4 linked regions of the Tamandua tetradactyla genome follow. The protein of the gene in region 1 purifies or fractionates together with the protein of each later gene. This does not show direct contact. Links are inferred from orthologs where the notes say so. Each region holds a gene or a part of one and is shown on either strand. Other genes may lie near its edges.

Region 1 (7,165 bases):
TGCCCTCATCCAGCCCCCCGGCAGCCGGCCACTGCAGTGCCTTCCCAGAAGCCCTGATCCTCCGGGTTCTCAGGGTCCAGTGCCTGAGCAGCCCCCCAGACGCTGGCTGGTCCTGCAGGGGGGAGTACCCCTCAAGGCCTCACCTGGTAGGGACACTGCCCAGCTCACGACTTGGGGTGCAGGGGCTGAGGGGTCCACAACCTCTGTGCCTCTGGCCTCTCCATCCTCCCAGGCCTCGGACAGGGGGTCTGAGCAGGCTGCTTTAGGATCAAGAGCCCCTAGCTCTGCTCCTCCTCCCACCTTTGGAGGTCCCTGCCTCAAATTTCGTGAAACTGGGTGGTCCCAAGAGCTGGAAACTCAGGAAACCCCAGGTGCTCAGAGCCATCCCCCCAGCCTTGGCGTGGCTCATGGGGCAGCCCCCCTCCCCATTAATATATGCAACCCTCCATCTTCCTTCCCTTGCTCCCTAAATTATTGCTCGGCCACTGCCCCAGGACCCTGGGAGTCCACCTGGGGCAGCAGGGAGCAGTCCTCTGGTTTCTACGTGTATTTATAACTTGTGTATATATGTAAACAGATCTTTTTTTTAAATATATGTGCCTTTTGACTACTTCCCAAAGTCTGCTCGTCCTGCCTGCTGGTTTGTATTTGCTCCAAAGCAAGACAGGGACCAGCACAGCTAGAACAAGGCCCACCTAGAAATGCGGCTGAGAGTTATGGGCTCCCCTAGGGGTGAAACCAGCCCACCTTGACCTGGCCTACATCACACCCCCTGGCTCACGCCTACCTGAGGGACCATTGTTTACTGTGGTTGTGGTACCAGTTCTTAAGGCAGCTGCTACTGGCCAGCCTGTGTCAGGGCCCATTCACCTTGGCTTCAGGTACTGTGCCCCAGCAGCATCCAGGCTAGGGAGTTCTGCCTGGGACCCTCTTCCTTAGCTCCTCCTTTAGGCACAGACCACCTCTTGGGGACTCTGTACAGCCCCCAAGGGCAGATCCTCAACATGACTGCCAGCTCTTCAGGTCCCAGGCCATCCCTACCCCTCCTAAGAGGGACCCAGAGATAGCTGTACCTTTACAACAGTTCACTTTCCCCTGGATGGGACTAGATGGAGCCCAGAGGGTAGGCATGGGTACCCTGGGCTAATGCCTACACCACGAGATTGGCAAGTAGAGCAGCCTGGCTCACTGCCTAGACCAGCTTGGCCATCTAATGGGTTAAGGCCTCGTGCCTGGACAAGCAGCCCGTTGGGAGGAATTTCCAGGAACTGGCCATGCCCTGATGTCAACCCAGGACTGAGCTGCAGAAATCCCAATTCGAGCTGCCCCAGCAGGAATGGCCATGGGGCTCCCCCTGTGGATGCAGGAGGTCCAAGCAGGCCTGTTTGTAAATTTTATTCCCACAAGGCAGCCAGGGGTGGGGGCACCCTGCCACGCCGGCAGCCGGGTCCTTCCTCCAGCAGAGGTTGCACGCCAGGTTCTCAGGTCTGCCCCACCAGTGGGCTGGTTTGCAGGCAGGCCATCATGGGTGCTGGGTGGAAGGCTCCAGGACTGCAGGCAGGGGCACGGGTGGGGGACACGAAGATGGCACACACTTGTAGAACTAGAGATAACAGGGCAGGTCCTTCTCTATCACCTGTGGGAGAAGAGGGAGATCAGGACAGCTGATGGAGCACTCCTACCCACCCCCGGCTCCCTCAAACGGCACCTACCAGGGGCTCTTCCATGGGACCATATCGCTTCACCACACAGCCATTCTTGTCAATGAGGAACTGTGAGGGGTAGTCAGGGATGCAGATTCCTGCCTGCGAGGCCCCTCACTACCTGCTGTCCTATTTGTGCCAAGGTGGGGCCATGGGCCAGTGGGGGTGAGGCACGAAGGCTGTGGCTGATAGCCCAGGGGAGTTGGGCTGGATTGGGGGGATTAGAAGGGAAAGTAGAGGGCAGAAGTGGGAGTCTCCTCTTCCAGCTGGTGACCTCCTTACCTTAGTGAAGTTCCATTTTATGGCGCTGCAGAAAAGAGGCCCAAGGTCAGGAGGGCTCCCTAGAGGGGTTCAGCCCCCCACCCCCACCCCCGCAGCTGGGTGGGGAGCACTTACTTTCCCAGGATGCCCCTCCCCTTTGGCTGGATTTTCATCCACTTCCATAGCGGGTGGGCATCGTCCCCGTTCACGCAGATCTTGCTGAACATATCGAACTTGACGTTGTAGCCGGCTGCAAACTCTTTGATCTCCGCATTGCTTCCTGGCTCCTGCAGACAGCCAGGGCACTGGGAGTGGGGCAAGGGCCTGCCCCACCCCTCCCACACCATCGTCCTGCTGTCCTGAGTCCTGACCCGCACCTGGGTCCCAAACCTTCTACCCACTCCCAGTTGCCCTCCCCCTCCTGTCCTGTCCTCAGGGACCACGCACCTGCTTCCCAAACTGGTTGCAGGGGAAGGCCAGGATACGTAAACCACACTCAGCATATCGGGCGTGCAGGTCGACGAGCTGAGTGTAGTTTACGTCTGTCTTGCCTCATTGAGAGGCCACATTGGTGACGATGCACACGCAGCCCCTGGAGACGAGGGAAGCGTGGTCAGGGGGCGCTGGTGCTACCCTTCGGGGTGCCCCGTTTCCCTCCCTGGGCTGGCCGGCAAGCACGCACCGGTACTTGTCCAAGCACACCATGTGCCCATCGATGTCCTTGGCGGAGAACTCATGCATGGAGCGGGCACAGCGCCAGTCGTCCCGGGACGCGCACTGCGAGGCAAAGACACGCTGGGGGCCAGGCGCGGGGCAGCTACCCCACCGCGCACCTCCAGAGAACGGCCCTTCGCGCCCCAAGGAAGCCACGGCCCAGGACTAGAGGAAAGTGCCGCCCCCAACGGCCACGCCCCCTCCCCGCCCGCGGAGCGGGGTCCATTTTACAGAATTAACTGGGGCCGCAAGAGGGTCCGTGACCCTGCAAGGCTCCGGAATCACGCAAGGCTCCGGGATCCCGGCAGGCGCCGCCGGTCCCGGGCTCTCGCAGGGGGATCTCTTCCTCCGGGGGCGCGGTCTCCGGCGCCGACAGGCCCGGGTCTTCCGCCTGCCGGCCTTCCGCCTGCGGGGCTGTCGCCTGGGGCCTCTGCCCAACGACCTGCCCCGGCGGCTGCACCGCTTCCCGCGGCGGCCCCGGGAGCGGGCAGCTGCGCGGCCCATGCCCGCCCCTCTCCGCCCGCCTGTGCCCCAGCGCGCTGTGCGGGGGGCGGGAAAAGGGCCCGTAGCCAGGGCGCCCGGGGCCAGCGCTCTGTGACGTTGTCGCCCTGGGCCCCGGGGGGAGGGGCGCTGAGACGCGGCGCGTGACCCGAGTTTCCCTGCTCGATGGCCCCGCCCTCGAGGCCAAAGCCCGGGTGCGCAGAGGACTGGCCGCCCAGCCGATCCCGCTAGCCGCCTACACCCCCCCAGGCTTCCGGACACCGACGCCAACACTCCCACCCAGCCCTGGGACACTGTGTCCAGCCCACAGCCCATCCCCGAAGCCCAGGGAAACGAACCTGACCCTCCCACCGCACCCGTGCCTTCCCATCCCCAGCCGGCCTCCCCCACCCCCGATCCCGCACTGGCTACCTGCCCAACGCCCCAGACAGGCCCGGCGGCCGCGTACAAAGTGAATGGGTACGGTCCCCCGCTGCGCCCCCGGCCCGGGGCTGGTGGGAGGGGAGAAACGGACAGGAGCCCCCCCCCGGGGGGACGCCGCACCCCCGGCTCCCGGGCTCCCGCGAGCGGCCCAACGGCTCCCGGCTCCGGCCCTGCGTGCCTGCTCACCATGGTGCCGGCCAGGCCGGGAACTGCCAGCGCCCCGCACAGCAGCGCGGGTTTAAGCAGACGGCACAGGCGGCTAAGGCTCATCGCGGCGGTGGGGGCGCGGAGCGCGGCGGCTCCTCCCTTTGACCGACCGACCAATGGCCACGCGCCGGCGCCCCGCACCTTCCCGCCTTCGGCCACGCCCACCTACGCCCTCATTGGCGGGCCATGGATGCGTGCAACTGGTGACCAATGGTGGGGCGGGGGCGGTCTGCGGCTCTGTTGTCGGTAGCCACTGCGCATGCTCTCCTGGGTGGGTGGTTGAGTTCACGCCGCCGCGCGTCGGGATTGCGGGCGGTTGTGCGAGCGGCGGGAGGGAGAGAATGCCTCCCACTCTCCCCGAGGGCACGGGGTGGGGGGTGGGAAAGGTCGTCCAAACCGCCAGGAAGCGCGCCCAAATTCCCGGGAATACTCTCACGGTCACGCAGGTGTGCGCCCAGAAAAAAACACGCCGGAGTTCTCCAGGCATGTGACTTCCCATCCCCCACGTGGTTTGCGTATATTTCCAACACGGGGCAACTTCCTTTTAGCGCGTCCAAACAAGGCCCGGCCGTTGGACCACAGGGGCACGGCAGACCCACCACCTTTTGGGTCCCGTGAGTTATGCAGCACCCCCAACTCCCCTCCCCGCGTCACGGGACTGGCCCTTGGGAGAGTTTCTGCTTTCTGCCGTCTGGTGGCAGAGGCAAAGAAGGGAGGGTCACCAGGTCACCCGCTAATGTGGAACCTCATAAGGTCCATTTCTCAACACAGCCCTCCTCCGCGGGGTCAGTAGGGGCCTGCTTCTCTGAGTCTCTTGGCATGGTGGCCGTGGGCTCCGTGGGGCCCCCCTCACTTCCTAGGAACTCCCACCCAGTCCTCGCCGCCCTCGGAAGTGCCCAGTGCCCTGACCACACTGGGCTTGCCCTAAGGCTCAGATGTTCTCAGTTTTGCTTGGATCTGTAAACACCTTCCCCGAAAGGCTGATTTTTTTTTCAGTGTTGTCAAAAACACAGGGCGCCGCCCTCCTAGAGCCAGGGGCGGAGAGAGGAAAGATAGAAAGACCGCTGCACCCAGCCCTGGCCGCAGGCCATCACCTCCCCAAGGGGCCTGGGCGAGGTGGAAGCTGTGGGGTGGGGGTGGGAGGGGTTGGAGCCCAGCTGTACTCTGGCCAGAGGGTCGAGGTCTGTCCTGAGTTGCCACCAGTCTACAGGGCCTGTCCTATGACCTAGTTTTTTTGTAATCCTCTCGTTTTGAAATAAAATTCGCCATTTTAACTACGTATAACATGTCCAGTTCTGTGGATTTTAGTATATTCACAATGTTGTGCAACCTTCACCACTGTCTGGCTCCAGATCATTCTCATCACCCGAAAAAGGGGACCCCATGCCTGTCGGCTGCCACTCCCCAGCCCCACTCCAGACCCCAGTGACCTCAAATCTCCTTTCTGTCCGTGTGGGTTTGCCTGGCCAGGACGTTCCTTATCAGTTGGAATCAGACGAGCTTTGTGCTTTGTTCTTTGCTTCTTTCACTCTGCAGAATGTCTTCAGAGTCCAAGTGGGAACAAAAGGTGATACTTGTCCTTTTTATGGCCGAATAATAGCCCATTGTAGGGATCAGTCATATTTTGTCCATCTGCTGGTGGATATTGGGTTGTTTCCACTTTTTCCGCCATGACATCCTGCTGTGAACACGAGTCTGTGCGTGGACATGGGTTTTAATTTATCTCGGGGATTGCTGGGCCTCACAGGGTGCAACCCTCTGAGGAGCCCGCTTGCCCCCCCTCCTCCGTCTCCACCCCTTCCCTCCCCTGGCTTCCCCAAGGAACCCCGAGGCCACCTGGAACATGCACTCTCTAGCCAAGGCCACTGCTTCTTGGGCTTAGCCTTTGTCACCTGCATTTACCCTCATTCCTGAGTGCCCTTTCTCCCATTGCCAGCAGCTCTGTCTGCAGCTCCAGTCCCTTCACCCCTGCACACCTGCCCCAGCCCCTCCCTGCAGCTGCCTGGTCAAAGACACAAAGCAAGTCTCGACTTGGTGGCCGCCCCCTCCTCCCCTGCTTTCTGGGACACCTGGCAGCCTCCTCCTTCCCCTCCACCTTTATCCTACTTAGGAAGCTCTCGGCCATGCCTGCGTCCTGGGCACTGAGCGCAGTTATTGGCCGGCTCTCCAAGGAAGCAGGTGTTGGTCCAGTCCCTATTTTGTCTGGCGGGAGCACCCAGGCACTAGAGAGGTTAAGAAGTCACACAGCTAGGGCTGGAGCGCAGGCAGCTGCCCCAGGGTCTGGCCAGCCCCTCTGCCTTCTGCCGCCCCCGCTCCCGGTGCCAGGCCAGGATCTGTCGCCAAAGGCACAGCTAATGTTGGGGCATCCTGGGCATTGGGGGTGCTTATCAGGGTCTCTGGGCACCCCCTCCCCAGTCGTGACACCCACAGATATCTCCAGAAATCCCTAGGGGTCCTCTTCAGGACAGTTGCCACCATGATCTTCACCGTGAACTCCACAGATCCTCCTCCCTCCTTCCACCTCCCCTCAAAGTCCCACGGAGCCTCAAATTCCACTGCCCAAGACCCCTGTCCCCACCTACCCCCCCCCCATTATCCCATCTCCATCGGGGCCACCTCCATTCTCCCCGGCATGACCCCACGCTCCATCCATCTGCAAATACCATGGGCTCTGCCTTCAGGAGACACCAGGTCGCCCTCAGCTTACAGTTCCCCCAGTCCCTATCCCCACATCTGGCCGGTGGCCCCTTCCCACTATCACCCAGCCCCCAGCGCTGTCCCCAAAACAGCAGCTCCAAACATTGCAGTGGCTGAACAGAAAACCTGCACTTGACAACCAAACCGCAGACCTCCCTGGCTCTGCCCCCCTCAGCCCCGACCGTCCCTCCTTGTGGCCCCCCACCTCTTGCTGCCAACACACCGGGCAAGGCCCGGCCTTGGGTACGCTGGCCTGTACCCTTGGCCCGACACCCTGTCCCTAGACCCCAAGCTGCTCCCACCCAGTCCTGTTTCAGGGACTTGCTTAAACCTTTCTTCAGGGCCTTCCTTGAGGTCCCCACTTGACTCCGCAGCCCCCTCAAGTCTCCCTGACCCTGCCTTGCTTCTCTTTCTGCAGCCTCATCACTTTCTATTGTACATTCATTTATGTTTATGGCTCTGTGTCACCTTTTGCTGAAAGGAGAAATGGGGGAGACCTGGCCGGGACTGCTCCAGCCACTCCACAGTGGAGCCTGTTGAGATTTGGAAGAAAGAAGCACTGCACACCAGGTGATAAGTCCTCAGACCTTTACTTGGGAACTTACAGAGAGCTACCGTGACCTTGCCCCAGACAACAAGGTCACAAGAAGGTCACTGGA
Region 2 (7,732 bases), on another chromosome or scaffold:
GTGGCCTGGGAACATCCCAAGACAGGCCCTGTCAGCTACTGGTCTGCCTGCTGGCTTCAGCCCAGTCACTAAGGAGATCAGGGAGGCTGAGGGGTCTAGGAGCTAGAGGGCTGAAACTCCTCTCTCTGACTGGGTTCACGCAAGGGTTCTCACCTCTTCCACCCTTCCAGCCACCAGCATCCAGCTCAGCCGGCTCCAAAGTTCTCAGCTTACCACTACAGGAAGAAAGACATCTGGGATCAGAAACCCAGAGCAGACACACAACTACATAACTGCAATACAATTCCATATAACTGTACTAGTCCTTACTATACATGATGCAGTGATGTTTTCTGCCCTGGTTTATTAAAAAATAAAAATGCTAGTTACATCCCTAAAATGATTTCACATCCCTGAAAAATCCTGACCTGCAATTTGAGAAGTACTGGCCCAACAAGTCTCCCTGAATCCCTTCTTTCTTATCTCCAATTCTCCCAACAAGAGCAAGTTGTCCTGGTAAAGAAGGGGAATCTCTTCATTCCCCTTCTTTTGACTGTCATGTAGAATAAAATCTAAAGTCCTTTTCACTGCAGCATTGTGCTCATCTTTCCCTCACCACGCACTTAGCCAAAAACAGGCCAAAGCCCCAGAATGCCTCAGGACCTTTGCAAGCCATCTATTTCCTCCAGATCTTTGCAAGTCTGGCTTCTTTTTATCAGCTATAACTCTCCAACCCTACTTCCACATCTCCCTGTTTTATTTCTTTTGTGGTTCTTATGACAATCAGTAATTACCTGGCCTATTTGCTTAAGCATCGTCTGTGTTCTGCACTACAATGTCAGTCCCGAGAGGACCTCTCAGTGCTTCAATTCCCTCAACTATTAGATGAAAATAATAATTATACTTAACTTCATTGAGTTGTGGAGATTATTTTTAAGTTATTATTATTATTCACTGCTGTTCTCCGAAAACATTGCCTGGTACAGAGTAGACAATATAGTACAAAGAATAACTACGTGAAGTGAATGAGTGAGCGAAACGAGGCAGCCACAGACCCTCATTGCAGTGAGTGCCACTCAGCCCCATCCAGAGACTGGCAGCCTCATGGTTTGGGCCTCACGGACACTTAAGGACCAGAGCCATGGATCCAGTGTGGGGAGGGAGGCAGAACTTGCAGCCGCCATAAGCCCAACTCCCCAGCAGTACTAAACCTATCACTACCTGGGGCTCATCAGGATGTCCTGTGGCCACAAGGGCACTCTGTGGCAGGGGCTCCATGGGTTTGGCCTCAGGAAAGAATGGACTCTCCCCTCAACAGGGAGCTGCTCAACAACTGGAAACGGGGCAAGGGCAACCAAGCTGAGCTGAGAAGAGGCCCAGAGAGAGGAGATACTTGAAGGCCACAACTGGTGCATCCACACTGTACCCAGGAATCTAACCTGTCAGCCAATCAGAAAATCAAAGGCAACTCCAAATAATCTCTAGGCGCTGGAAAGAATGCAAGGAAAGGAAAAGGACAAAAATACAATGGATTAAGGGAAAAGAGCCCAGGGACTAGCAATTGCAAGACCTGGCATCTTAAGGACTGTAACTGGGTGTGTGCCCCTTGGATGAGGCATTTCCTCTTTCTGGGTCACCTCAGTTTCCCCTTTGTGAAAGGAAGATTTAGCTGACCTGCAAAGAAATAATGAACCCTTACATAAATGTTCACTGTGTGGAGCTTACTCTCTAAGGCCTTCACATACATTCTCATTTAATTGTCTCTTCACTTAAACAGCCCTGAGTCAAGACTTTTGAAAATGAAGAAACTAGGGTTCAGAGAGTAACTTGCCCAAGGTCACAGCACTACAGCATGGCAGAAGAGCCAGAAGAGCTAATGTCAAAGATCTATTTTTCTTAATAACTTTAATACACCCTTCTTCAACCACAGGCCAGATAGTGGAGTGGGTAAGAACCTGGGCCTTGGAACTGAACCACACCGGTTCAAGTACCACCTCTGCAGATTAGCATCTGTCCGTCGGGTGTTTTTGTTTTCATCCAGCCATGGATTTAATAAGATAATCGATGTAACCTATGGAAAGGTTTAGCATTATTACTCAGCAACATGTTTTCTCCCAGTGTGAGAGGTTCTGCTACTTAGCCACAAATCAAGTGCTGATGCAGGGGCTGCACTCGTCCTACTCTATTTAGCCCTTACCGCAGCCCTATATGGTAGAAATTTTCTATTATTCCCTTTTCACACGAGAAAATTGTGGCGACTGCTAGGATCTATTCTTCCGGCCCTCAAATCTGACGACCTTGTTTGTTTACTGGTTGACTTGGCTTGCTTACTGACACTTCCTCTGACCTGTATCCGCATCACAAAGTTGGCTCTCAATAAACACTCAACGGTTGCCTGTATTCCAGGCCTGGCCAGGCAGAGGCTAACTGGGTTCAGCAGCCGGAAAAAGGCCAGGCTAACTCGGGGTACCCTCTCCACCTGCCCATGAGGGTTGGCCACCCGGTACTTCTCCCGCCCCCAACGCTGCCATGGCCACCAGCCGCCAACGCCTGCCGGACACCGGCTGCCTGCGGACAGGTGCTCCCGGAGGAGGCCGGTCCGGCCGGGTGGGGCAGGGGGCTGGACCCTGAGTCACCGCCGACAGCCTAGGACGCGGCCTTCCCGACTACTAGGATGGGCTGGGGCGTTAGAGCCCGCAACTAACCTGGGTCTCCTGAGCCGAGCCGTCCGTTCTGCCTACCGGGTACCGAGAGGACTCCGGCCCTTCAGCCCGGCGCGGTTCGGGCCTCCTTGGCCTACTAAGGGGCCCAGACCAGGCACAAGCCACGAAGGCGGCCAGGATTAAGCCTGGGCCCGGGAGCAGCAACCCGAGGACTCACCTCTACGCGGGAGCCGCGCAGGGGCGGCGGCAACGGCTCAGGTACCCGCGGGCTGCAGAGGCGGCGGCGGCCCGGTTCTTCTCTCAGGGAGCGGCCATGTTTCTGGTGGAGAAACTCCGGCGGACACGTGGGGGGAGCGGGGCCGGCCCCCGCGCTTCCTCTTACCCACAATGCCCCGCTCCGGAGCGCGCGGACCCGCCCCCTCCGCCGCTCCATTCATGCGGGCTGAGAGCCCGGCCTTGGCTGCAGGGGGCGCTGGCGGGTGGGCAAAACAGAACAAGGTGCAAAAGTCGGAGAGGTGAAAAAGCGATCGACTGTGGCAGCGGTGGGATTCGAACCCACGCCCCCGAAGAGACTGGAGCCTTAATCCAGCGCCTTAGACCGCTCGGCCACGCTACCCAGTTGCGTAAATTATTTTTTTAAGGCTCTCTTTAGTGATTATCTATTTGCTTAACGAACTTGTAGCGGTTCACTGGAGTTCCTCCTTAATACGTGCCTTATCTGACTCTGATACAATTATTTAAAACACGTCATGGGTTTTTAAAAATTTATTTGCTTCAGTTTTTAGACCCAGAGTCGTTCCAAATAGGTTTTAGGGCGGAAGGGAGCTTAAGGATCTGTATTCTGAGTTGGGTGGTTAACCCGGCGACCCCAGGTCAACCCCCACGTGGCCCACACGACCCGAGTTTTGTGTCTCTGGGAGAGATCGATCCTGGAGAAATTAGTAACCCTCACCAGGGGCTCCGATGGCCAAAACGGGGAGCTGATCTAGACAGTTGCTCCAAAAAAATTTTGTCTTAATTTTTGGTTACATTAATAATACATGAATTATTGCAAAATATTAAAAACTTGCAGAGAAGATTCAAATGCCCTTTAACTTTTGGCCCCCATCCTAGTTCCCTCTGCTGAGGTAACCATGATTCTCAGCTAGTGATGAGTACAGTGAAGAAAAAAAAAACCAAGGTGTTAAAATAGAATGGTTGGGGTGGTCAAAGAGATGGTAGTGGAAGGTCTCTCTAAGGAAGTGCCATTCAACAGAGGCTGAGCATTGAGGTGCCAGCCTTGGGAAGAGTAGAGAGAAAAGCATTCCAGGCACAGGGAACTGCAAGAGTCAATTCTCGAACTTCTCCAAGCGCCCATTTCCTCCTCTGTAAAATGGAGATTAGCAAAGATGATGGGTAAAGCATATATAGCACAGTGCCTGGTACACCAGTAAGGATCTGGTAAATGTCAGTCATTGTAATTACTACCTAGCAGTGGCCACTTAGTACTTCCTAAATTGTTAGAATTTAGGAAGACAGCCACAACCCGTTGACTTAACGCAATGAGCCAAATCAATGCTTTAGCCCAAGACCGATATATGAAATTAGGCAGCAACTCCACTAACGATTGTAATGCTTTGTACACTTCCCTAGAAGGTCATAGAGAGCACACTGTCATAAATAGAATTCCAGTTTTGTGTTGACTTGTATTAGACTGTTCAGGGCAGTGATCAAAGTTTCTGGTTAACATCCAGTTCGCAAACACCAGTACTATTTGGATATAACATATTTCTCCTTCTCTTCCAATTTCTACCTTAGCCCAGTTTATATTTCTCCATCTACCTTTAATATAAGTAATGATATGCAAACATTGTATTGTGCTGGGAGTGCTTGTTGCTTTTAAAAAAATTCAAAGAAAAACACAGAAGCAACCATCTATTGAGGACACAAGCAAAGGCATGGGGGGGTCGGGATACAAAGCTGAATGAGGAAGAGATCTTGAAAACAATAGGAGCATTGAAATAGTTGTGCTATTTTAGTGCCAGAAGGGATTGTGTTTGTTTGTGAGTTGTTGTCTGGGAAATTTATCCCCAGTGAAGGATAATTGCTGGAATCTCTGTCCAGTCCCACTTTCTAGAAATTGTCCCCCCAGCTCAGAGAGTGGGTCTCTGGCAGCCACGTTTGTCCTGTGTCACTACCCCATAACAATGACCACTGAGTGGGTTCTATGGTGGACTTCAGTCTCAGATTAAACCAGTCAAATTCTTTTTTGATAATCTTGAATTGAGACATAGTGACTTACTGATTTGTTAACTTGATGCTTAAGGAGTTCATCTGAGACTGCCTGGAACTAGGGAGAAGGGGATTTGGAGAGGTCCTATTCTGTGACAGAAGTTGGAGAAGTAGAGAATGCCGAAACACAGAAAAAGAGAGGATGATAAAATGAGAAGAACAACAGGAAGTCATAGAGAAATCCTCATGGATTTCTGGCTCCCAGCTCAAAAAACCCTTCCAAAGGCCCAGTAAAATTTCCATTTTGGAGAATCCCTTTTTCATTTTCTGCTAAAGAATAGTGCCATCTGGTATCTGTCAACGATAATCCAAGAATCCTCCTTGTGTAGCAATTGGTAAGGACTCCAGTGAAGCTGAGATATTCCTGCCGTAATATTCTAAAGCAATTCAGGTCCATCTGGCTAACACATTCTGAGCAGACTTCTTAGCAGTGAGCTTGTGGAAGGCAGAGCCCAGGAACCCCTTTAGGGAGTTTCTTGCAGTCCCGCAGCCCCATCGTACAACTGTCATATGACAATTGAAAGTAAATTCATTAGCAGTATAAACAGAAGGTTGCATCAGAGCCTCAGGGTCCCAGCAGCTGTATGCCGAGGGGACAGAAAGCAAGGCCTGAAACCCTGACCATCCTTTGATGGGTCCACTTCTCTGCCCCAGGCTATTGGGGACAGGTGAAGTGGACAAGCACCACAGATCCACAACTGCCCACTTGCCCTCACCTCTCCTCAATCTAGAGGCCACCAGGTAAAGATGTTCCTCTCCACATCATAAGCCCTAGGATGTAAGCAGTGGGAGTGGGGACGCAGTCCTGAATCTGCTCCATTCTTTATTCGTTTACAGAGGTAAAAGGAAAATTACCCCACACCTGGTCTGAGACCAAATTTTCTGCATGAACGTCTTTCGAGAAAAAAGTTAGCTTTCCTGATAAAATGCCTCAGAGATTTTCTTATGAAATTTAATGGTGTTGAGACTTGTACTAGAAAAACTAGTTTTCTACCCAGCCGGTTGACTGTTGTCTGTGAGTCAGGAGCATAGTGACCTTTAACCAAACATTCTTTTATTTTGTATCTTGTCTAACAATGATTATCTAACTACCCTCTTTTCCTATTTAATGTTCCTACCAAGATAGAGGTCAGGGGACCTCTCGGGTGGGGTGTAGGATGGGATGTACTGCTTTGAAAGGAGGTTGAGGAAGTAGATAGACAGATGAATGTAAATATATATGTATTTTTCAAGTTCTGTATCTTGATCTGGGTTGTTGGTACACAGATGTATACATATATAAAAATTCATCATGCTATGCCCTTTTAATTGCACAGGGTAGGCCACAGTGACTCAGCAGGCAGAGTTCTTGCCTGTTGTCATGGTCAGGTTCATGTGTCAACTTGGCCAAGTGGTGGTACCTGTTTGTCTGTTTGAGCAAGTGCTGGCCTGTCTGTTACAATGAGGACATGTCATAGAATTAAATCATGAGCATGTCAGCTGCATCCACAGCTGATTCCATTTGTAATCAGACAAGGGAGTGTCTTCTGCAATGAGACATGCTTAATCTAATCGCTGGAAGCCTTTTAAGGAGATTCAGAAGAGACAGGCTCTCTTCCTGCTTTGGCTGGTGAGCCTCTCCTGTGGAGTTCATCCAGACCCTCCATCGGAATTGTCGGCTTCATAGCCTGTCCGGCGGATTTTGAACTCTGTGTTCCCACGGTCATGTGAGACACTTTTATAAATTTTATATTTGCAAGTGTTCCCTGTTGATTCCGTTTCACTAGAGAACCCTAACTAATACACCTGTCATGCCAGAGAGCCGGGTTTGATTCCCGGTACCTGCCCATGCCAAAAAAAAAAAAAAATTGTACAACTTACTCTATGTACGTGATAACTTAATAAAAAGTAATTTTAAAAAATGTCCCTTCCAATGAATCTTTGAATTAGCATTCCAGAGGTCTTTTCATGTGCACTGAGACTGAAATAAAATTTTGACACCTGCTTGCTACCTAACTATCTGGAAAATTTACTTTAACACTCTTCTCCAATCTGTATGGCCCTTCTCCTCTACTCCAAAGGGCATGTTCTTTCAGGATGGGTATCTGTTATTTTGACCTTCCCAGCAGCTATGCCTCCATTTTTTGGTTCCAGTACTCTGATACTCTTTGGGACAAATCTTCCCCAGTGGTCCTGGAGGAACTGTCAATCAAAGTACTAAAAGATGCACTCAATACCTAAAACAGCCCAATCGGAAGATTGATCCTGGGAATCTGAATCTGTATACCAAATAATGATTTAGCTCAACAGCAGGACCGTGAAGGGAATTTCCGGACTGTTCTGCTTCTTAGCTCTCAATTTTGCCCCAGTATCTCCCTTTCAAAAGCCTGATTATTTTACCTTTCATTCTGTGACCTACTTCCTGCCATAAAATTGCTTCTTTACTAAAGTTAGCCAGCATTCAGTTCTATTATTTGCAACCAACGAACCTACCTGATAAACTAGGCCTCCCCAAAAGAAAACACATTCTTGCTAAGGAGACCCTTTCCCTTAGCACAGAAAAAAAGGAGAGAAGCTGGCTTAGTTGTGTGCATAGCATCTAACAAGGTGGGGATGCTCCTCACTGAACTTCATCTTTGGCCCATTTTCTCTGGCTGTGCCGCATGAGAAGCATCACCAAAAGGTCACCTTGGCAGGGTGACCATCATAATTATCATCCAAACCAGCACAGTTTAAGTCTATGACAATGCTTACTTGGAAGCAGGACTTGGACAACGGGTGAGAACTGGGGCTTTCTCTGGCAAGCAGACATGTGGACATCTTACCACTTGACCCCTCAA
Region 3 (7,525 bases), on another chromosome or scaffold:
AAAGCCATCTGTTTGGTGTGTTTGCTTTTGAGGAAAAGGAACAGAGACTCTCTAGGCAGCCCCAATTAAGGAAAACTGCAGGGAAGTCCTGCGTGGGGCTAGAGCAAGCAGGAGCTTGAACCATTGACTGGCCCCCAGAGAGTCCAGGAAGAGCTCTCAGCACAGCTCAGGAGCCTGGAAGGGGGGTCCAGAGTCCAACCCAGCTTTGCCAGCTGTGTTATCTCATTAGGCCTGATCTTCCTCGGCAGCCTGCAAACTGATTTCCCTGGGGAAAGGACTGCACTCCTGACCATTCGGCTGCACCCACAGAATAGTGTTTGGTGACAACTGCACATGGCCTCCTCAGACTTAAGGTGGCTTCCCTTGGAGAACCTGGGCCTGGGTCATTTTATTGTGGGGTGGGTCCTCAGGGGCTCTAGCCCCTCTTCCATAGCAAGCCCCACCCCACAGCTCTAGCCTTGCAGGATCCTTCTTAACCTCAAGTCCCAACTCAAAAGCCTCTGGCTTCGGGACGCCTCTCCACCTCATTAGTCATTCCCACCTCTGCTCTATCGCATCTCAACACAGTAGATTGTTGTTGACATCAGATGTGGTTTCTCGAGTGGGCCTTGTATAATTCACATTTATATCCTCAGCATCGCATGGGCCACTTATGTGTTTGCTGAAGGAATAACACAAGGAGCCTCTTTGGCGCTGCCGGTTGGGACTGCTTTTCTCACAGGGGAGATACAGAGGACACAAGTCAGGCCAGTTGGGCCTGGGGTGGCATTCCATTCCCCTGGTGATTTTTAAAGTAAATGAGTTTGATGGAAAAACAGCTTGGAAAGGGTTAAAAGGCAGAAGTAAAGACCAGGGAGTCTGCCCCAAGGTTCAAAGATAAACAGTCTGGCTGAACTTGAAAGAAAAGGATGTTTTTAATACAGCAGGTGTTGCTAAAAGACACAAAGCAAGATTGCTTAGTCTAGCAAGAACTAGCTGACATTGCCAAAAGTGGTAAGCAACATAAAGTAACATTAGAAAATAGAACAAAGCTTTTCACATGCATATCTAGGGTATAAAAAGAAGTACAGCCCTAAATAAACTTGCCTGAACTTCTCTGAGAAGTTAGGTCCCCTGATCCCAGTCTCTTTCCTCTTTCATTCTGGGCACCGTCTAGCCCTGCGTTGTAAGTAACAGTAACATTAGTTATTTAAAAAATTTTAATTATAAACATAACACATTCATTGAAAAATTTTAAACAACAGAATGTATAAAGTTAAATGTTAAAAAGCCTCCACACTTTCCTTCCACTATTCATAATATTTTCTTTTTGTCTTTGTGTTTTTTTAATCATCTTAAGACTTATGATAACAAAATTTACTAACTCGTACTGATGGTCTATCTTCTCTATCTAAATCCTTACGAGTTGGCAAAAGCATCGTGACCAAACACACGTAATTCAGTGTCTCTACAATTTTATGTGGTTTTGAATAGCAGTTTAAAGACGACCTGAATTGTAACTTGGTCTGATTTAAGATAATAAAGAATGAAAAAGCAAAATTTAACTTGTCACACTGACTTTTGAAAACATTCAACTTTATAGATTATCTATAAAATGTGAGAAGGTTTCACACATTCACACATTCAGCATTCTTTATTGGGTTTTATACATAAACGACACCAAAATGCCTTTTGTTAATTAAAAGGCAACATTTCAAATATTGAAATTCAGGGACTTTTAATTAGATTGACACAGTTAAGATCAAAAAGATAAAGTGGACATAGCTACCTTATTTTTAGCACCTGCCTTTAAACAGGCTGAGGACACCAATTGAAACCCAGATGAGTCTTGCTCTATTCTGTGACAATGAAGAGATTTCCTAGTATTCAAGTATATTCATAACACCAATCATATAAATTTAAATTTAAAACCAATCTCCAGTAGATTGAACTGGTATTCACCATCTCTGTGAAAAGCTGAGCATTACTAATTCACTTAGCCTCAGTCCAGTTATATCTTTAGAAAGGGGAAATAGTGATAGCACTTGCTGAAACCAGAATTATATCAATTTAAAAAGCTTGATCACATTCATTTAACTATAAGCTAATCTTATTTAACTCAGGGCTGTCCAATAAAAATATACTATCAGCTATTCATGATCTGAATTCTGGTGTGTGAGATCAATTCAGATATGATACATGTAAAAAAGTCCCACCTATCTTATAATAAATAATGCAGTGGCCAATTATTACTCATTAGTAGCTTTGAGATAAGCTATCAAGCCTGCCCTTTCTGCCATCTTCTTACTGCCAGCAAAGATCATTTTTCTTCCAGGGATATACTTCTTGGGATTCTCCAAATACTCCAACAGTGTCTCCTCTTCCCAAGTGATGCCTTTCTTCTTGTTGGCATCTGTGTAAGAGAATCCAGGCGCCTGACCTGTCTTCCGCCTAGAGACCATGCAGATTTGGCCCAGTCTTGTGTTTCCCTCCCTCTTCCACGGTGTGGCACTGGGCACACTTCTGAACAAAAATCTTCTTGCCCTTCTCAAATTCACCCATTTTGAATTCACTCTCTTAGCACATGATACAAAGGTCCCCGCTCAGAAGCCGAACATCCTGCTGTCTCTATTAATATTTTTCAACCAGCTTTACTGGGGTAAAATTCACATACCATACAATTCACCCATGCAAAGTGTGCAATCCAATGTTTTTTTAGTATATTTACAGGGTTGTGCAGCTATCGCTATAATCTAATTTTAGAACATTTTCATCTCCCCTAAAAAAAAAAAAAAAAAAACCCGTACCCATTAGCTGTCAGTTCCCATTCTGCACCTCACTTCCTGCCTGCAGAACCTCCACCCCACCCTGCTCCCGGCTTCCTAGCTCCCAGCAACTGATAATCTATTTCCTGTCTATAGATTTGCCTATTCTGGACATTTCATATAAGGAATCATATGATGCATGGTCTTTTGTGTCTGACTTCTTTCACTTAACATATTTCTGAGGGTCATCTATGCTGTAATATGTATCAGTACTTCATTCCCTTTCATTGCCAAATGATATTCCATTGTATGAATATTCCACATTTTATTTATCTATTCATCAGCCACTATTAACAATTTAATATGCCTCCTGCATTTGTTTGTATTATCTGGGTTTGGATCTCTGTGGGGCAAGTTCCCAGGTGAATGACATTGGGTTAAGTCATAACTTCTCCAAAGCTTTGCCTCAGTTTCCTCAATTGTAAAATGTGAATAATAATGGACTGTAACTCAGAGTACTGTTGTAATAGTTAATATTTGATGAGCACTTACTATGTGCCAGGCACTTTATAAAGATGACATAACAGATCTCTAATTTACAGACTAGGGAATTATGGTGGAGGGAGGTTAAGTCATTTCCACAAAGTCAAACAGCTTCTAGGAAAGCCATGATGGTAAATAGGAACAAGGCTGGCCGACTGCCAGGTCAGCACCATTCACTGTCAATCTCATGGTGTAAAAAGTGCTTACTTAGGGCTTGGCAAAGAGAATGAACTTGGTAAATGAAAACTAATAGAACATGAAAGACTTAAAAAGCAGAAACCACCCCCAGCAATTGCCTCAAAGGCAAAGGCATCTGCCACTGTTAATATTTTGTCATATTTCCCTCCTGCTTTAAGAAATATTTCAAGCATACTAAAAAATAACAGGAAATAATGAAATTGACACCCACTCTCCCAACCCTGTTCTTTCAAAGACATAAAATCTTGCAGATCAGGTAGCTCTGCCTTCCATATCCCGGGTATTTTTTAACTCATACATTATTTTCTTTAGATAATCAGGATCATATCATATCATTTGCATCTTTTAGAAATCCTATCTTGAGCATTTTTCCAGCATCATTCTGCAACACGATTTTTCTTGGCTGAATACACCATACTATACGGCAGAAACATATTATTTCTCGATTCTACATCGTGAGCATTTATGTTATTTCTCAGCAAAAAATCACTACACTTGCTTCTTTATTTAGGGAATCCGATAATTCCCTTTTCCCAAATTCCCAGAAAGGCCCAAAGTCAGAGGCTGTTCCTTTAGTTAAAGCTCTTCATAAATTTTTTGTGAAATAGCTCTCAAGGAAGAAAGGGAACAGGGAGAAGGGCTTTTTTTTTCTCCATCTTTAAAAACATTTTATTCAATTATAACATCCCATATAACCAGCACCCACATCAAGAAAGAAAGTAACTCCAGCAGCCACAAGTCCCCTCGGCCCGTCCCCATCATCACTGCTCTCTGAGGGGTGGGATTCTAAATCCGCAAAGGCCCACCAACTCTATCAACTCTTTGGAATCTTAGTTTATTAATACTCTGATAGGACCTAGGCCAAGAAAACGTGATAAGTTATTTCTGCAAACGCTGGACAGTCTGAAGTCTGCCTGGACGAAGAAAATACAGTCCCCTCGGGAAAAGGAGCACCGGGCGGCGCGGAGGGCCCAGCAAAGTCCTCCAGGCTCCCGGCGTGCAGCGCGCCCATCCCGGCGTGCACCGCGGCTTGCTGTGCCGGCGATCCTGCGGGCTCAGAGAGGAAGGCGGAAACAGCAGTGGTGAAACTGTGTGAGGTTTCTTGTCCTGCGGTATCCAGAGACGACGAGGCGGAGGCAACATGGAGGTGTAAGCCGCCCGGGATGCGTTCCCGCCTTTGGGCGGGGGCCCAAGGGTGGGGGACGGTTACACTGCGGGGAGCCGGGAGGCGTGGAGATGGGGCGACCCTCCTCCCCGGCTTGCGGTGAGGGCGACGGCCCAGTCGTAGAAGGGGCAGTCGGGTTTGGGTAGGAGGGGAAGAAAGGGACTTTAGACTTGCTCCTCTGAACCTTTCTTCCCCACCTTCCCACCTCCTCATCTCCATGCCTGGGACATGAGCAGAATGCCATTGGGCCTGGCTGTCTTTCATTCGTGTCTCCTCTCTCCTGCGGTCATTTACACGTGTTTCCTAAGTCCCAGTGGGGAGCCCGGCCCGGTAAGTTAGCGGCGATTCAGGAATAAATCCGTGAGTCCACCAGGAGGGGAGACGGTTAGGTGTTGAAATAGATCCTAGGGGTAGTAGGCTCCCACTCGGGGGAACCGTAACTCTGAAGAGGTGCTCAGTGAGTGTGATGAGGAGCAGTTAGCCCTGTGAAGGAAGGCGCGTATATTCTGCGGAGAAGGGAGTGCGTGAACCAGTTAAGGGGCTGAAGAAACAACACTGGTGGGGGGGGGGGGAGGGGAGAAAAGAGTAAGAGCTGTTCTAACGATTTAGCTCCACATTGTCTTTTCTCATTTTTACTCCTAGTACCATGTGCAAATGGAGGTGTTTTTTTTTTTTTTTTTACTTTTCATGTGTATTTTTACTTAGTTGACATTAACTTGCAGGTACACATATATTGTGTTCCTTACAGCACCCAGTTTCCTTTGTTCTGTAACTTGTTTAATGGTTATATATACCGCAGTTTTTCCAGTTTATTTGATCTTATCTTGACTTTTAACACAAGATGTATATATAACTGAAATAAAAGCTTCATGAAACAACGTTTACCTTTATTGTATGCTATGCTGTACACTCTGACACTGACTCTTCTATTTCATGAAAAGAATGCTGACTTGGTTGTATATATGTTACCAGAATAAAAATTAAAAAACAACCATGAAACTGTACAACGCAAAAAGTGACCCCTGTTGCAAGCAATAGCTATAGTTAATAGTGTACTTATAATAATGTTTGTTCATCAGTTGCAGCAGTTACCACACTAATGCAAAATGTTAATAGGAAAAACTATGGGAGGGAGGTATGTGGGACTCTACTTTCTCCATAATTTTTCTGTAAACCTGTAACTGCTCTGTTTTAATTTGTAAAAGCTGTCAGAATGTGATATACCAGAAATGGAATGGCTGTCAAAAAGGAGAATTTATCAAGTTGCAAGTGTACAGTGCTACGGCCATGAAAAATGTTCAAATTAAGGCAAGGTTATAAAAATGTCCAAACTAAGGCATCCAGGGAGAGATACCTTGGTACAAGAAGGCTGTTGAGTTCCTAGTTTCTCAGATGGAAAGGCACGTGGCAAGGTCTACTAGCTTTCTTCCCAGACTTCTTCAGTGGCTTCCCTGGTGGTGTTTTCTTTATGTCTCCAGAGGTCTCTGGCTATGTGGGCTCGGTTTGTTCTAAAGCTTTTTCCAACATGGGTACCTCTTGAAGGACTCCAGTAAGCAACCCCACCTTGAATGGGTGGAGATACATCTCCATGGAAGCCATCTAATCAAAAGTGACCACCCACAATTGAGTGGGTCACATCTGCATAGAAACAATAAAAAGATCCCACCCAGCAATATTAAAAGGATTAATGGGCATTGCTTTTCTGGGGTACATGACAGTTTCAAACTGGCACATGCTCTCATAAAAAAAATAATGGGAAGAAGGAAAAAGAAACCTAATTTTTTTTTTACCTAATTGGTTTTGTAACCCATTAATGGGATACAACTGCAGCTTGAAAAACACGTATGACTGTGATCCAAGCCATTATTATCAGTTTCTCCCTATTGACTGGAGAATTTCCTGTCAGCATAAAAAACTTCTATTTATCCATCTTAAAAATAAAGTCCCTTGTGGCAGAGTTCTCGACTGCCAAGCCCGAGACCCAGGTTCAATTCCGGGAGCCTGCCCATGCCAAAAATAAAGAGATAGATAGATGCATAGAATCCCTTGTCTCTTATTCATTTACGCTCCATTTCTATTTCGCGTTGTAACAGAACTTCATGATAGTTGTTTAGGCAATCCCTTTGTACTGTCTAAACCATTCTGTTTTGTTGTTGTTGTTGTTTTTACCTCATTAACTCCATTTAAATGGCTCTTGTGATGATTACCCAAGCCCTCCAGTTTGTCAAATCCAAAAATTGGTTTTCTGTTGTTTACTTTCTTGATCTCTCAGCAGCAGTTGATACGGGTGTCTGTTTCTTCTAGAAATATTTACTGGCTTTATGACATGCTCTCTTGGATTTCCTTCTACATCAGGTACTACTTTTCAGTCTCCTTTCCCCCCATCCCTTCTTGTTGGCTTCTGAGTGTTGAGGTATCTCAGAGCTCAATCCTGGGAACCCTTCTCTCCACATACTGTCTCTTGGCTATTGTACCTACCTCTGCTGATGAATCTACGAATTATAATTCTAGCCCCTTTCTCCTGAGTTCTGAACCCCAATTCTCCACTACTTATTTGGCATCTGCATTTACACGTTGAAAAGGCAACTCGGACTTAACATTTTCAAAACAGAAATATTGATGGTTTCCTCTCCAGCCCAACCTGCTTATATCTCAGTTATTAAGACCATCATCTACCTAGTTGCTAGGTTTTCTGACTTTCCTAAGTGAAATGGTCTTGTAACAACCTGTTCACTTCTCTCTAGGAGTCAGTGACTTACTGAAACTAATCAAGAATTTTGTAGCTAGCAATTCATGGATGTTCTAGTTTGCTAGCTGCCAGAATGCAATATCCAGAAACAGAATGGCTTTTAAAAAGGGGAGTTTAGTAAGTTGC
Region 4 (7,634 bases), on another chromosome or scaffold:
TATAAGAGCATAGTTTGATTGTTATTGACATTAAGTTGGTGTCAAGGCAAACAAGATTGTTACAAATTTAGGATGTTGAACTTAAGCCTCACAATAACTATCAAGAACATGTCAGAAAATATGCAAGTTCATAGAGATAGAGAGTAGAATATAGATTGCCAGGGGTGGAGGTAGGAAGAACAGATTGCTAATGCATAATGGTATAAGGTTTCTGTTGAAGAGATAGGAGAGTTTTAGGAATGGAAGGTCATGAGGGCTCTACAGCACTGTGAATGTGAGTAATCCCACTGAATTGTATACTTGGGAGGGGTTGAGATGGGAAGTGTTGTATATCTGTTCCCAGAATGGAAAAAAAAGCAACTGAAGAGACAATGACATATAAATACAGTATATGATCCAGGATGGGATCTAATAAAGAAAGGAGAAAAGGCTCAAAAAAACATTGAGACCTATAAAAAAAGTTAGAATGTAGACTGTCAGCTTTATATCAATGTTAAACTTCTTAAAATATGTAACTATTAAATTTTACCAATGGGGGAACCCCTGATACTGTGTCAAACATTAGGAACACTCAAATCAATAGGCCAAGCCCTTGATCAGGTAACTTCCTCTTGTGAAGCTTATGTATATATAGAGCGGAGAAGTTTAGCCTGCCTATAGGTATGGCTGAGAGTTACTTTTGGAGAACCTCTTTTGTTACTCAGTGTGGCCTTTCTCTTTCTAAGCCTAACCCTGCAAGTAAAATCATTGCCCTCCGCCCTACATGGGACATGACATCCAAGGGTGAAAGTCTCCCTGGGGCAGGGGAGATGACTCCCAGGGATGAACCTGGCCCTGGCACCGTGGGATCAACAATACCATCCATACAAAAAGGGGGGAAAAAGTGTAACAGTGGCTGGGAGAGTTCAAGTAAAGCCGAGAGACTACTCTGGAGACTACTCTTAAACAAACCTCAGTTAGACATTGCTACCTAAAGGCAAAACATTCCTGCCAATCTTAAGGAACTCTAGCGCATTAAGATTCTACAAAGATTCAATGCACTAGGGTAACTTTCCAGAGACCTATATCCTCCAGATGGGTCCCTGGACCAGCTAAGTCCTGAAATGCAGAGGGGCCAGCCTCTCTAGAACATCAGCTAGTTCCGTCCCCCTACCCCATATTATCGATAGCCCCTTCCAACATGAAAAAGTTAGAACAAGCATAGCCCAAATACCCCTAAAGAGTGGGAGAAAGATCAAAGGTGATGGTAAAGTTATACAGAGTATGTAGGGTTTAAATAAATGAGTATGATTACTGAGTCATTATATTGATATTTGTTTTAGTCTCCAGTGTCTTGGAGCAGCTAGAAGTAAAAACCTAAAATTGTGGAATTGTAACCCATACCAAACTCTGAAATCTGTTCTACAACTAATTGTTGCAATGTGCTTTGAAATTTATTGATTTTTTGTGTATGTTATTGTTCACAAAAAAGAAAAAAAGTTGGTTATAATGATAAATGCACAGTTATATGATGATATTGTGAACCATTGATTGTATACTTTGGAGGATTACATAGTATATGAATATATACTGTATATCAATACAAATAAATAATTTTAAAAATGTTTAATTTCTTGAACTTGATACCGGCATTTAAATGAATATCCTTGTTCTTAGGAAATATACATGGCAGTATTAAAGTGTTCAAGGAGTATGATGTATACAGCTTATACTCAAGTGTTCAGAAAATGAATTGATGAATAAATAGATAGGCAGGCAGATGGATGGATAGATAAAATGGTAAGGCAAATGTTGGAGTTCTCTGTATTGGGTTTGTATTATGTTGGCAAGTAGGAATGATGATGAAGAAAACTTTTTTATGCCTTTAAATAATATTTTTCTTAAGTTGTGTGCATGCTTTGGTAAAATATAGCATTTAAAAAAACTATAGAATGTTAATATCATTTGGGATTACGTAAATAGTATCTATAATATACTATAATAGTATAAATAAATGCTTTATAGAGAATCTATCTAATTACCCATTTTCAAAACTTTCTGATATATTTATATTTCTGTCTTTTGGACTGTATTTGTTTCAAACTAATACTTCTCTGATTCTTAACTTCATTTTCTACATATATCATAAGTAATACTAAACTCAGGAACCATTATTTTCCCATTATTACCCATAACACTTAGCATGGTATCTTAAAGTCTCAAAATATGCCTGACGAATAAATTTTCTCTTCTCCTTTACCTTGTTTTAAGGTAATACATGTTCATTCTAGAAAAAAAGCAACAAACAAGCAAAAATCACCCCAGAATTCATCTTATCATTTTCCTAATATCCCTCCACATGTTTTCCTATGTAATAAATACACATAAATAAATTTAAGATACAGTTATCTTTTTAAAATATTTTTATTGACAAAACAACATACAAACACAAACATTCTTAACACATGAACAGTCCATGCTTTGTGTACAATCAGTGGCTCCCGGTATCATCATATAGTTGTATATTCATCACCATGATCATTTCTTAGAAATTTGCATCTCTCCAGAAAAAGAAATAAAAAGAAAAAATACTCATACATACCATATCCCTTACCCCTCCCTCTCATTGACCACTAATATTTCCGTTTACCCAATATATTTTAACCTTTGTTCCGCCAATTTTTTTTCTATACCCTTTACCACTCCCTTTCATTGATCACTATTATTTCAATCTACTCAATTTATTTTAACATTTGTTTCCCCTATTATTTGTTTATTTTTTAATCCATATTTTTTACCCATCTGTTCCTACCACAGATAAAAGGAGCGTCAAATACAAAGTTTTCACAATCGCACAGTCACATAGCAAAAGTTATATCGTTATACAATCATCTTCAAGAAACACGGCTACTGAAACACAGCTCTACAGTTTCAGGCACTTCGCTCTAGCCACTCTAATACACCTTAAACTAAAAAGGGAATATCTATATAATGCGTAAGAATAACCTCCAGGATAACCTCTCAACTCTGTTTGAAATCTCTCAGCCACTGACACTTTATTTTATCTCATTTCTCTCTTCACCCTTCCGGTTGAGATGGTGTTCTTAATGCCTTAATGCTGAGTCCCAGCTCATTCTAGGATTTCTGTCGCATGTTGCTGGGAGGTTTAACACCCCTGGGAGTCATGCCCCATGTAGAGAGGGGGAAGGCAGTGAGTTTGCTTATCATGTTGGCTGAGAGAGAGAGAGAGAAACCACATCTGAGCAACAGAAGAGGTTCTCTGGGGGTGACTCTTAGGCCTAATTTTAAGTAGGGTTAGCCTGTCCTTTGCAGGAATAAGTTTCATAGCAACAAACCCCAGAATTGAGGGCTCGGCCTGTTGATTTGGTTGTCCCCACTTCTTGCAAGAGTATCAGGAATTCTGCACATGGGGAAGTTGAATTTTCCCCCTTTCTCCCCATTCCCCCAAGGGGACTTTGCAAATACTTTTTTATTCACTGTTTTAATCACTCTGGGTTTATTGGGGCATCACATTAACCCGGACAAACCTACAAAATCTCATGCCCTATTCAGGATTCAGTGTATTTATGGTGTTCAATTAAACTATCCATATAAGTTAAATTAGGAAATGCAGTAGTCAAAATATAAATTTTATACCAAATAAACATTTCTTCCTTTAGTCTCACACAGAAGTTGAAGTTTTAAAATGTAGATGACCATCTATTTTCAGCGCCCTGCAATATCCACATTCCTTTGTTTTTCCTCATGCAAAAAGATTTTTCAATTTTTACATTTAGTCATTATTATGAGATAGAATTATCTTTTACACACTGTGTTTTTACCAGCCTTTTATACTTTATATGTTATGAAAATCTTTCTGTGCCAAGCATTCATTCATCTTCATTTTAATGACTAGCTAATTTTCTACTTATGGATATGCCACAATTTATTTAAGCAATCCTTTATTAATAAACATTTAGGCTTTCTGTTCTTTTTTTTTTAATTGTTAGCAAATGGTTTAATGAGCATCTTTGTACAAATAATTTTGCGTACTTATTTGAATAATTCCTTAGGATAGAGTGAATTTTTAAATCAATAGGTACGTACTGTTTTTAAGGCTTTATGTCACCTTGCCAAATTGTCCTCCAGAAATGTTGTATTTGCTTAAGTCCTCACAAGTAGAGAATGACTTATCCATTTTCCTCCTCCCTCACTGACCAATGGGGAGAAGCAGATTTATCATTGTGGGGTTAATTCATATTTCTTAGAATAGCAGTGAATTTTGACATTTTTAATATGAATGTGAATATATTTGGCCATACATGTCTTTTGGTTATTTTTTTTAATTAATAAGTAAAGAGACAGAATTCTTAAAAGGATGTATGATTTAACTGCCTCATATTGCAAATATTTTTCCAGTTCTCATTTTCTCTTTAACTTCATTTTCAGTTTTCCCCCTTCATATAGAAAGGGATTTTGTAAAATTTTATGTGTTCAAAACTGTCAGTCGTTTTTACAAATTTCTGCCCCAGCCATCTTGCCCCAATGACTGTTCCTTTCCCAACAGTGTATAAATGAAATTAATTGATTCACAAATTTTAGTGGGGTGGCTACCTCTCAAATTTCTTCCCTTTTTTCCACCAGGAAAGCAATAGAAGAACTGCTTAAGGAGGCAAAACGTGGGAAAACCAGAGCAGAAACAATGGGACCTATGGGGTGGTAAGTTTTCGAATAATCCTCCTTAAAACTTAAAATGTTAAAATACAGCATCTTGGCTGGAGATATAAATATGTATTAAATGTGACTAGAGTGTATACAGAGGAAATCATCCAGAGGCAAGTGGTCGAGCAGTTAAACTGCAAAGGGCCCAGTGCCCAGGAACTTAAGAGCAGGAAGAAGTGGTGGAGAATATGAGTTTCATCATCCCTTTGATTTGCACATCCCCAAGGGATGTGTAGGTACCACCATGCCCAGTGACACCTGTGTGAAAGTAATATTTTTAGTCTTCATTGTTGAAGAATTTCTGCTTTGATTATAGTTTTTAGTAAATTAAAGTGAATTTGTATTTTATTTTTTAAAAATTAATTCTAACTGTAAGTATTTTGAATATATGACATTTCAGCCACATGGACTAAAGTTTACCTTTGCAAGTTTCTGTACAAAATAGAGTGTCTTAAAACTTAATAATATAAGCAAAGGATTTAACCTTAAGAATGATGTATACTCTTTTATGCACTACAGTCAGTGATTATGTTGATTATACATCTTTTAACTACAATTTTAAATGTTACTTCAGTGGAATACCCTGGGCTATTAAAAAAATAAAATGTAAAAATGGGGTAGGAGTAGAAACTAGACCTCGGAATGTGCCTCTTTTTTAGATTTGGCTTTTAGAAACCATGCACATAAAACATAAAATAAAATTAACTCAAAATGGAGGGAAAAGGCAGTCCATAAAAGTTGAGCAAATTAAAACAAATGAACCTGAATAAGTGTAGTGGATGGCTTAACCATACGTAGAGGAACTATTTCCACTGATCCAAAAACACAGCAATTTTTACTTTATTTCCTGAAGACAAAGAACTACAAAGACATTGTAAATTGTTTTCAGTCTTCTTATTGTTTGTAATAATATTGGTATTGTTATTCTGAAAGTATATTATAGTAGGATAAAGCAAATAAGTAAATATGCCAATGTTTTCAGGCACCAAGCTTTTCAGTGTGAGAGAAAATAGATACAAAAGCAAAATCTGAGTAAAAACCTATAGTCCTAAATTTGAATTGGAAATGTCAGTAGGAAGACATGTTAGATTTTTTTCCTTAAAACAGAGAAAAGCTTTTTCTAGCTGTGTTTATGGAAAAGTCCTAGAAACAATGAACTGCTCAGTAGTAGGGAGCTCCCCTACATCCAGATTGTGGTCTGTAAATACCATTTTTCACTAAAAGGCAATAATAATCCTTACAAAAATAACTGATTCCAGATTGAGGTAAGAAACATACAAGAGGAGCTAGAAAATCTTAACACAGCAAAGAGCAAAGAAACTATCAAAGACAATTGTAGTCAGGTCAGAAGAACTCAGGAGCCAGCTTGAAAAGTCATCCACTGGTCAAAGATGGGGTTATTTGATCATCAAAAATAATAGCTTTAAAAGTTCAAACACTTAAACTCTGTTAAAATCTGTGAGGTCAAAATGATCACCAAAGCAGTGAACTTAGTGATCCCCTTTTAGAGGAAGCTAGGGAACCAAATCATTATTCACAAAATTGATAAATAAAGAAGAAAAATCAAACATTTGTCCTGTTTCTGAACAAATTGTATCTCAAGTTAGCAAATAGTTGATGAAAGAAGCTTCTTTATAGAAGAATTGCAGTTAATAAATATAGAAGGCATGTAAAATATGGTTATCATCATTTGAATTCTTAACTCAATAAAAAGAAGGAAAACAATCCATTTTTTAAATGGTCATAAGATTTGAACAGACACTTCATCAAAGAAGATATAAGATTGGCCTATAAGCATATGAAAAGATCATTAGTTATCAGGAAAATGCAAATTAGAACCACAATAAATTACCACTACATACACACTATAGAATGGCTAAAATAAAATTAAGGTTGGGATGTGGAACAACTAGAACTCTCACACATGGCTGATGGAATTTTAAAATCATACAGCCATTTTGGAAAATAGCTGGCTGTTTCTGATAAGTCTACAACCCAGAATTCTTAGCATTTACCAAAGAGAATTGAAAATTTAAATCCACCCAAAATCCATACAATAATGTTCATAGCAGCTTATTCATAATAGCTCCAAATTGGAAGCAACTCAAATGTCCATCAGCTGGTGAGTGGATAAACAAATTCTGAATATATCCATAAATTCAGTGCTACTCAGCAATAAAAAGGAACAGAGCTACTGATAAACACTGCATGGATGAATCTCATAAGCATCATGCTAAGTAAAAGAAGCCAGACACAAAAAATGACACAGTATATGATTCCATTTATATGACGTTCCAGAAAAGGCAAAACTATAGGAACAGAAAACAGACCAATGGTTTCCAGGAAGTGGGGGTGGGAGGAAGGGATGGATGGATTGACTGCAGAACTTTTGAGGGTAAGGGAAATTTCTCTATCTTGATTGCAGTGATGGTCACATGACTATATATATTTGTCAAAACTCATGAAACAGTTCACTTAAAAGGATGAATTTTGTTCTATGTAAATTATACCTCAGTGTATTAGTTTGTTAAGCTATTGGAATACAAGATACCAGAAATGGAATGGCTTTTAAAAAGGACATTTAATAAGTTATAAGCTTATCGTTATAAGGCCATAAATATGTCCTAACTAAGGCAAGATTCCTTGACTCGAGGAAGGGCGATCTGGGAAGGCATGTGGCTTGTGTCTGCTGGTCCTTGTTACCGGTTCTGCTGCTTCCGGCTTCTGATGCCAGTGGTTTCCTCTGTAAGCGTCTGTGGGCCTTCACTTAGCTCCTCCGGGACAAACTCTGGGTTTCATCTCTTAGCTTAGCATCTGCAGAGGCCGGAGATTTCTTCTCTTCAGTATTTGGCTATTTCTGTGAGTTCTTGCTTAGCACTCCAGGCTATATCTTTCTTGATCTCCAAACATCTACATAGGCTCTCCTTCAGCTC

Evidence for each region. The genes of interacting proteins can lie anywhere in the genome.
Region 2: the proteins of POLR2E (region 1) and POLR3E purify together in Homo sapiens (affinity purification with mass spectrometry; 5 studies listed by BioGRID and IntAct, counting the BioPlex papers as one, with this or other methods). This does not show direct contact. The link is inferred for Tamandua tetradactyla from reciprocal best matches to the Homo sapiens genes POLR2E and POLR3E.
Region 3: the proteins of POLR2E (region 1) and CRCP purify together in Homo sapiens (affinity purification with mass spectrometry; 3 studies listed by BioGRID and IntAct, with this or other methods). This does not show direct contact. The link is inferred for Tamandua tetradactyla from reciprocal best matches to the Homo sapiens genes POLR2E and CRCP.
Region 4: the proteins of POLR2E (region 1) and protein POLR1D-like purify together in Homo sapiens (affinity purification with mass spectrometry; 4 studies listed by BioGRID and IntAct, with this or other methods). This does not show direct contact. The link is inferred for Tamandua tetradactyla from reciprocal best matches to the Homo sapiens genes POLR2E and POLR1D.

Annotation. Positions count from the first base shown.
Region 1 is NC_135337.1:81,867,671-81,874,835, forward strand, and holds the start of POLR2E (DNA-directed RNA polymerases I, II, and III subunit RPABC1), read left to right. Parts: upstream 1-4,117; 5' UTR 4,118-4,292; intron 4,293-6,924; exon of another isoform or gene 6,925-6,987; 5' UTR 6,988-7,165. UniProt on the Homo sapiens protein: DNA-dependent RNA polymerase catalyzes the transcription of DNA into RNA using the four ribonucleoside triphosphates as substrates.
Region 2 is NC_135349.1:34,964,911-34,972,642, forward strand, and holds the start of POLR3E (DNA-directed RNA polymerase III subunit RPC5), read right to left. Parts: upstream 3,012-7,732; 5' UTR 2,860-3,011; intron 1-2,859. UniProt on the Homo sapiens protein: DNA-dependent RNA polymerase catalyzes the transcription of DNA into RNA using the four ribonucleoside triphosphates as substrates.
Region 3 is NC_135349.1:18,078,406-18,085,930, reverse strand, and holds the start of CRCP (DNA-directed RNA polymerase III subunit RPC9), read left to right. Parts: upstream 1-4,514; 5' UTR 4,515-4,626; coding exon 4,627-4,634; intron 4,635-4,886; exon of another isoform or gene 4,887-4,980; intron 4,981-7,525. UniProt on the Homo sapiens protein: DNA-dependent RNA polymerase catalyzes the transcription of DNA into RNA using the four ribonucleoside triphosphates as substrates.
Region 4 is NC_135330.1:192,895,504-192,903,137, forward strand, and holds the start of protein POLR1D-like, read left to right. Parts: upstream 1-4,623; 5' UTR 4,624-4,681; coding exon 4,682-4,698; intron 4,699-7,634.